Linked DNA regions of Bombyx mori. The protein of the gene in region 2 interacts with the protein of the main gene of each other region in a pairwise test. Links are inferred from orthologs where the notes say so. Each region holds a gene or a part of one and is shown on either strand. Other genes may lie near its edges.

Evidence for each region.
Region 1: the proteins of E3 ubiquitin-protein ligase Su(dx) (region 2) and UBE2L interact in binary tests that used the Caenorhabditis elegans proteins (3 or more experiments, as listed by UniProt). The link is inferred for Bombyx mori from reciprocal best matches to the Caenorhabditis elegans genes wwp-1 and ubc-18.

The regions. Positions count from the first base shown.
Region 1 is NC_085122.1:5,771,093-5,775,137, reverse strand, and holds the start of UBE2L (ubiquitin-conjugating enzyme E2L), read right to left. Parts: upstream 2,815-4,045; 5' UTR 2,644-2,814; coding exon 2,617-2,643; intron 2,339-2,616; coding exon 2,243-2,338; intron 1,806-2,242; coding exon 1,619-1,805; intron 1-1,618. UniProt on the Caenorhabditis elegans protein: Ubiquitin-conjugating enzyme E2. Accepts ubiquitin from the E1 complex and catalyzes its covalent attachment to other proteins. Required for diet restriction-mediated lifespan extension, probably acting as part of a complex with ubiquitin-protein ligase wwp-1.
Region 2 is NC_085110.1:8,433,222-8,437,520, forward strand, and holds the start of E3 ubiquitin-protein ligase Su(dx), read right to left. Parts: upstream 2,806-4,299; 5' UTR 2,696-2,805; exon of another isoform or gene 2,496-2,695; 5' UTR 2,431-2,495; exon of another isoform or gene 2,383-2,430; intron 2,361-2,382; exon of another isoform or gene 2,162-2,360; intron 1,775-2,161; 5' UTR 1,691-1,774; coding exon 1,621-1,690; intron 1,508-1,620; coding exon 1,220-1,507; intron 988-1,219; coding exon 749-987; intron 393-748; coding exon 169-392; intron 1-168. UniProt on the Caenorhabditis elegans protein: E3 ubiquitin-protein ligase which accepts ubiquitin from an E2 ubiquitin-conjugating enzyme in the form of a thioester and then directly transfers the ubiquitin to targeted substrates. Ubiquitinates klf-1.

The DNA of each region.
Region 1 (4,045 bases), on a different chromosome or scaffold from region 2:
GGTTTCAAACGATCCGTGAGAATGAGTTTATCGACAAACCGAACGGCCCTTTTCTTGATGGGAGTCAAATGGAAGAAGCTGGTATTTCGGAGCCCCGGCCCAGGTATGAGAGCAGTACTCCACGCGAGGCCGGACTTGTGCTTTATAAAACAAAAGTCTTTGCTGTCCAGGCGTGAAGTACCGCTTCGCTCTGTTGAGGACTCCCAGGATTTTAATGCCAACTTGGCTTTGCCCAACAAATGACTCCGAAATTGGACATCGCTCGAAATGTCGACCCCAAGTATCCCGATACTCTAAGGTAAGTTGCAGGGATACTCCTTGGAATTGAGGCGTCATGATAAAGAGGTCCTTCTTTGCAGTGAACGCGCAAACTTGTGTTTTTAACGGGTTGACTTTCGGACTTTCATCCCATTCGGAGACTCGCCCCAGAAAGTTCTCCACTTCAGACACAAGTTTTGAACATCCCTCTTGCACCACGCTCCGAGAGAGACTCTGAGGCCGATATATCGCGTATCACCCGTGTTGATATCCGCATAGCGATGCATGCCGTCAATTGTCATTGATATACAGGATAAGCGTGGGGAGGGCCGGACATTGTGGAACGCCAGCGTTAATGGTCATGGTCAGAGCAGTCAACGTCTACAACGACCGTGATGCTCCGCTCACCCAAAAAGCTAGCGATCCACTTGCAGAGACCCTCGGGGATTCCGTAAGATGGTAGCTTCGACAGAATTGCCCTATGCCAGACCTACCAGAATCTACTATTATATCGTTTTTGATTCTCACTATCTGACAGTTGTCTGATCTATACTTTTGTAATTTTATTTAAGTGTACAATAAGGCATTATCTTATTCTTACTCTATGGCTGTAAGATTAGATAATTATCTGAATATTGGCAAACCATACTTTAAGTATTTTTTTGTTCAAGACCTTCTTAAGCTTCGAATCTAAGGGTTTCTTAACAATAAAAAATAAAATCCGGGTTCTGTAGGCTTTGTCTTGTATTATTGAACAGTAGTGTTCCTGAATAAGATATTTATTTACAAATGAATGTACAGATGAGAGAATTCCAAAAGAGCCAATATCAGTTTTCCAGGGGTGACATAAGCAAAAACTTATTTTGTATAAACAGGTCTAAAAATTGACCTCTATTAATGAACAGAAGTACTTATTTGAAATTTTCAAAATACTGTTTAAATTGTGTTATGTGTCACAACTTGTTATAAGAATGACTAATTGTACTTTGAAAAAACTCAACAAATTGATAAGAGTGTACAGGTCCATATCCTGGAGCAGTTAGATCTCCTTCAGAGGCACTCAGGCAGTTGTTAGCAAATTCCAGCTTTTGCTGAGCCTGTGCTTTCCCTTTCTTTGCAAGTTAGAGTATTTAAAGTAATTTGGCAATGGTAGTCTGAGGCATGAGTATGTTTTGTAAAAGAGGTTATCTTGCCCATTTTGTGAATTCCTGTTCCAGATGTTAGTGTAGTGTAGTGTAATTCCGCATAAACCTCATTCTCTGAGATTGGGGTAACAAACATTTATTTTGGGTTTAATGTTATATTCACTTTTATTTAAATATTTTAGATATTCTATGGACCTAACATATCACTACTTTACCTTGATCAGTCTTGGTAGCAGGCTTCCAATTTTCTGCACTAATGATGGGCAGGCACACCTGACCCTTTTCATCAATGTTAGGGTGGTAAATCTTTGTTTTGAAACTAATTTTCGGGGGTTTGAATGGGTATTCTGCTGGAAAGTTAATCTCAATGCGGAAAGCACCTTTGTTGTAAGGTGGGTTGTCCTAAAAGAGAATATTTAGTTATTAATTAAAAATATCACTTGGGGAGTGTATAACAGACAAGATCTTTTACCTATGACAACTAAATCAAAATGTTTGTTTTACATGATAAGATTCTTTTTATTAGATACATCTGACCATGAAAGACTACAAATACATACATTATCACACAAAATTGTTCTAGCACATAACTCATGACTCACCTAACATTATACAGATATTGAAATCCATACCTAAAAGTACACCCTGATAAAGGTTGAACTTGAACACTTGCATTACAATAATGGGATACCCCTTCTTTCTGATCAGAATACATGAGACAATAATTTTGAATAAATTTAATTGAAACAATAATTTACTGATATTGTTCTTTGTGTAAATATATTAAAATATCTATAAAAAAAAATTACAAATTCACTACTAAATCAATGGTTACTTACTGGAACAATTAGACCTTGCCATGTTAAGATGTTGGACTCATCAACCTGTATGTCTCTGAAAGACTTCAGGCCAGACTGTCTGATGTCATTAAGTTCCTAAAAAATATTATTGTGTAGTATTATGACAGTAATGGGAGAAAGTTGCTGAAAATATACTTTTTTTAAATTGTTCTCGTTGTAATAACTATTTTAGGTTTGTGACATTCTCTCGATTTGATTGATTTACTACATGAAGTGTTTAAGCAGATTTGACAATTCGTACAGCAACAAACTTTCGTAATTAACTTTTAGGTTAAATTTACGGGTAAAACTATACGTGGTTTAAATATATATTCGTCCCAAAGTATCAATGAAATACAAAATATATTTTTTACTTTTTGTAGTCTTCTCGTTGCAGCCATTGTACAAAATTTGCTAAAATGTCCCAAAATATTCCAAAGGTATTCTTTTTTAAAATTCAAATCGATTAATTGTCATTCCAATCAAACACCATAATTACGCAGCACAATAGAAATTAAGAAACTGAATTAACATGGAAAACGTCAATGAATTCAGTATTTTATCACAGAAAAACGGTGATCGGTGACTGTACTAAACTTTATTTAGTGTTGCCACCTATTTTTTTTAATTAAGGGGCTATGATGCAAACCGGTCTTTTAAAATAATATGATTGTTGATTGATTGTAACAAGAGTTAAAAGAGCACTAATAAAGTTATTAAAAATATATTTAATAAAGCTATTCCCTGTTTTCCAATTACAGCACAAGAGCGCATTATGCGGCATAATGCTCAACGTTGAATGTTTCAATGGTTAATGTTTCAATCGAGTCGGTATCGATTGCGAGTATCACGCTAGAGCATTACTTTTGGGAGTGCTCGATTGTGCGAAACGTTGCTGTAGTGGAAACATTCAACGTTGAGCATTATGCTGCATAATGCGCTCTTGTGCTGTAATTGGAAAACAGGGACTATATCCAACTAATAAATCAAAATTGTTCAATGCACTATTTTCTACAAACGCTTTATTAATGATGTTGGTTTGTAGCGATTGTATTTTCTGCGATCTACGTTGTATTACAGATTAATATATTATAACTGGTGCTGATAACGTACTGGTTACTACAGCTAATGCTCATTTCTTGTTAGTCTATGCTTCTCCCTACCTTTAACCGCCATTGACTTTTTGGCGGGAGCGCGAGGAGTAAAGTTGTGTGATTTGTTTTATTTTGTCTATTTAGTGTTTCTTCAGGTTTAAATGTGTAATAACGGTGGTTTATTATCTGTTTAATGTTTGTGAAAGTGCACAAATGTGGGAAAATGAAACAAAGCCTCTGGACGTAACTTCTCGGGATCCTCCAAAAAGGCTACTGAAAAAATCTCAGTAAATGACCACCATTTTACTAAGATAATGTTTCATCCCATATCATGTCATTTCATCCCAATTGGTTAATATCTCAAATTAATCATCTTCATTTCATTTCGTTTCACTACATATTATTATCATTTTTCATAAAAATAAGAATATAAATTAAAAATAAGACATCGCTTAAAGGTCTCAGTAACCAGGTCATAAAATCATTTAGAATTAACCGCCATTTAATATAGCATCTGCCCACAGCAATGTTAATGAATGGTCCGAATGGTAAACAGTCGACGTCGCCTTAAGCGCGTCATTACGGATCGTCCCGATCCGTTAACAGTGCCTTTAGATACCTCAAGCAAAGGTCATCGTCCTCGCCGAACACGTCGCTTGCGACCAAGGGCTTGACGAGTAAATTACCCAATAGACACAGCCCACAGAGT
Region 2 (4,299 bases):
TTTAATCAGTTTATACTCCAATGAATTTAAAGAAAGTACATACTTATTCTTTTTTTTTTTACTTTCCTAACTTCTCGAACACTGACCAAACAGTATATTGTAAATCGAATTGAAAGATCTACCAGCTAGTATGAGACGCGTTAAATATTTATGAGTTGGAATACTTACCGTCTACCATAACCATCATATCTCATTTCCCACCCAGGAGGCAAAGGCTCCTCAGCAGCATTAGGGTAAGCAGTATTAGCAGATGTTGGCTGTGTTGATGTTGGATCCTGTGTACCAGGCAGGCGTGACTGCTGTGAGGGGCCTGCAGTTTCTGATGATGACTGTGTTGCAGTACTCGGTAAATGTATAGACCCATTGCTCATTGGTGGAGGTCCTGGAGGTGGCTTTAAAAATGAAAAAAATAATTTATACAGAACTAACTTTTTCTTCTTAGTTGTATTGACCATATAAACACTATACTTTGATGGAATGTGCAAAATATATCTTTACTCTTTAATGAAAGTTCTTTACAATCTCAAAACTTTAAAATGTAATTTAAAACTAAAATATAAATAGATCAAAAGATAAACCTTTTTAAAATAGAATGGGAAAGCTTAAATTAGTCATGAACAATTTAATGGAAATTAATAATAATTCATGAATAAATGTTATTACTCAACCAGGCAGCCTTGTTGTAGTAGATGGATTGTTTCTATTTTAAATTTTTTGTATGATACAAATAATAGAAACATCAACTTACTCCAAGTGTTAGTGATCGCATCATGGATCTAACAGTCTCAGGATTGTTGCGCATTCTGATTCTGGCTCGCACCCCTTCATTAAGGGGAGCTGCAGTATTTGCCGTTTCACCAAGTAATTCACGTGTTTGTGTCAACACTCCAGGGTCAATTCTTAAGCCATCTAGAAGCAACACCAGTTCTGCTGTTTTTACCTCAGCATTTCCACTAGTATTCTCTTGAGAAGATGTTTTCATTAAATCTAAAAAAGTGCAAACATTACAACAAGTTTTGTTTTACTTGTTTACTGAATTTATATGAAGCACAATTTCACAAATTTTGAATATTGTAATGTCTTTCTTTTACATTCTTATTATATTGAAAAATTGTACTTATTTTAAAATGAATTCTCAGTGAAGAGAGTTTTATAAGGCTATATTAAATAATCTTCAATTATTCTTAATTTCAACAGAAACTGGTTCAGTTTAACTCACCTAATGTAAGTTCTAAATTCTCACATTTCCCATTACAGTAAAACAAAACTTTTAATAGGTTCACTTTTTTTTCACCAATCACATTGTCTTTCCTAAAGCTATGATAATCTGCAAGACGGAACAGTAATTGCGATTGTGGCGTCACCAAAATAGTAAGATCTTCTTTCCATTTTGGATGCAAGGTGTTCCTTATAACTTCAGTCTTTCTCAATATTTTATCATCAATTATAACTTGCAGGTATGGATTTGGTTTGAACAAGCCTGAATTTTTTATATTTGCTGATTCCACTAAAAATATACAATGTGTGTTAGAAGATTTGATAATTTCATTTAATATCATTTGCAAAAATATTTCAAGATTAATTTTCAATCAGTTTAGATCAAAATGTATTTGAACTTACCTGTTAAGCTCAGTTGATGATATGTGGACACAGAAATTGGAGCAGTGAGTGAAGATATATTTTCATTCATAGTGTATGCTCTTAGTTAAACCTTTTGAATGAAGCATAATATTGTTTTATTTAGGCTGTGGTTTCATCTTAATACTGGACATTTCTGGGAAAGAAAAATAAAATATGGAGTTCTACTTTTCACATTTTATTCAGTATCATGAATAATTGAAGTTAATGTTTTATAAAATTTAAATTAACGGGCTATAGGTGTTAGGAATACTTGTCCCATAAGGCAGTAATTATAGTTTAAAGGTAACATTGATAATGATTTTGTACATTGTATTGAAAATTTAACCATATGTATGAAGTATTGTATGGAATTATTAATTGGTTTGTCCTTATTATTTAGGTTGATGATCAAAATAGAATAAAGTTTAAAATTTTATTACGATTTTAATGGTAATAAGTTTGAAATTAAATGGGCTTCTATGCTGTTTTTTTGTGTGTGAAAAATACTGTAGCAGAACACTGTCATTAATGTTGCTATTACCAAACCAAAAGAAAAATAGTAATTTTTTTTTGCTTCCAATTAACGCTGCTAAATTACCGATCCCGATCTGAAAGCATTTGCCAATAAGTTGATTAAGTGTTTTACTGGACAATTGATTATTATCTGTCAATGACTTAAATAACCAGCTTAAACGAGAAGACACTTATTGTTTATACGTCTTGTAACGATAAACAAACACGAAGTGCACAATACAAACATACCTCCTGAAACAATTATAGTATTAATGTTACACAACAATGAATTATTACCATATGAAGCGAGTTCGTCCGAAGCTAAGAATCCTTCGAATTATCTTATTATCGTATTCTTATCACTGTGAAAGGAAACGTAAATAACGCCACATTCTCTTTATCACATTACTTATTGAAATCTAGCGCAGAAGGCACATAAATACACGTACACGAAAATCTGAATGTATACAGAAAATTTTAGTATTTTTTTAAATTTATTAAATGATATCCTGAGTAAATAATTTTTCACATTCCCTGAAATTAGTCACAGTATGTCACGCACCTGTCACGGTCGATCGATTATATTAATGATGTCCATTAATTTATCTCAACCAATATACCTAGTAATTTCTAATCTACCACGTCCTATCGCAGAGTATGTCTGTACATAATACCTATAAATTAGAGGTTACTGAAGACTATTAAATCGATTTTATACAATTTCCACTAGTTTTCTATATATCAAATTTATCTACTTATACTAAAAAGATAAATAAATAGTGAAACTGACTAATCACTTATGTGACGGAGCATCTTGACCGTAAGTCGAGCACCTACCTATGCCTTACCACCTTTTACTGGTGGTAAGGTGTCCTATGAACCTGCATGGGTAGGTACCACTAGATGCCTATTTCTGCCGTGAAGCAGTTAATTACGTTTTGGTTTGAAGGGTTGACAGCTGCTGTACTGTAAAAACGGAGAGTTAAAACTCATATCTCAAGGTGGGACACGTTGGTACATGCGCTTACGTTGTTGATACATGGCTCCGGTAACGATTTAACAGCAGTTGGGACATGAGTTCGTTTACTGCAACTAGCATAAATCGCAATAAAAAAAAACCTATGGTGGAAGTTTTGGTAAGCTCATTGAACGTGATAAGTTAGGCTAGGACCCAAAGAGGACGCCCGCTGACTATTAACGACGTAACAGGTGACCCTGCTAAGTTCAGTCCTGGGAAGCTCGCACAAACACCGTTATATAATCGTCTTATAAAAGTCGGAGACCAGAATGGAAGACAACGATCACACGTGGGGTAGACCAGGGGCTCTACCAGAGCCCAAGATAGCTCATCACATAACTTGATTCTGTTACGATCAGCTCAAGTTACGGATGATGCCAAAAGTTGAGACTTCGATCTCACGTCTCAAATTGCGAGTTGATGTTCAGCTGATGTCCAGCGTACTTTTTTGTTAATTTTTAACTATTTTGTCTTGCAATGGAAGGACGAGAAGCGAGACAAGCAATACAATGCGTAGTGCAAAAGCAATCCTAAATCTAAAGCGAGAGTAAAATTAGTGTTAGTGTGGTATCAGTGGAATAGATAAATACTAGTGCGTATTATATACTATTGAGTATGGAACCATTTGTGTGTTTGTTTCTCAGAACTGTCAATGAACAACGCTCAAGAGAAAGCTTGCTCATAATTTTATACTATACCGTTAATGTGTACTATTAATAGTGGGTTTTACAGTATATAATGTAATTTCATATTAAACTTTATTTTATAAATGAGCTCGAGATCACAAAACGTAACTAAGGTTCACTAAAACATTTCATATCGGTCATAATTATTATACGTCAAACCTGAAGAAAGACTAAATTAACAAAACAAAACAATTCACACAATTCCACTCCCAGCATTTTCGCCCAAAATTGTTAATTTGGTAAGTTTACTGTGTATCATATCGTAATCTTGACCTCTTAAAAACATTAGTGTCTGAAAAGAATATCTTTGTCTGATTGACACTTAAGCGCCTTATTCACGATCCATCTTGCTGTACGTCCCGCCAAGGCCATGCACGATGCACGATGCAAAAGGATCATGAATAGGCTTGACGTACGTCGATAATTATTATTAATTGTTTGCTGGATTTGCACGACCAATTT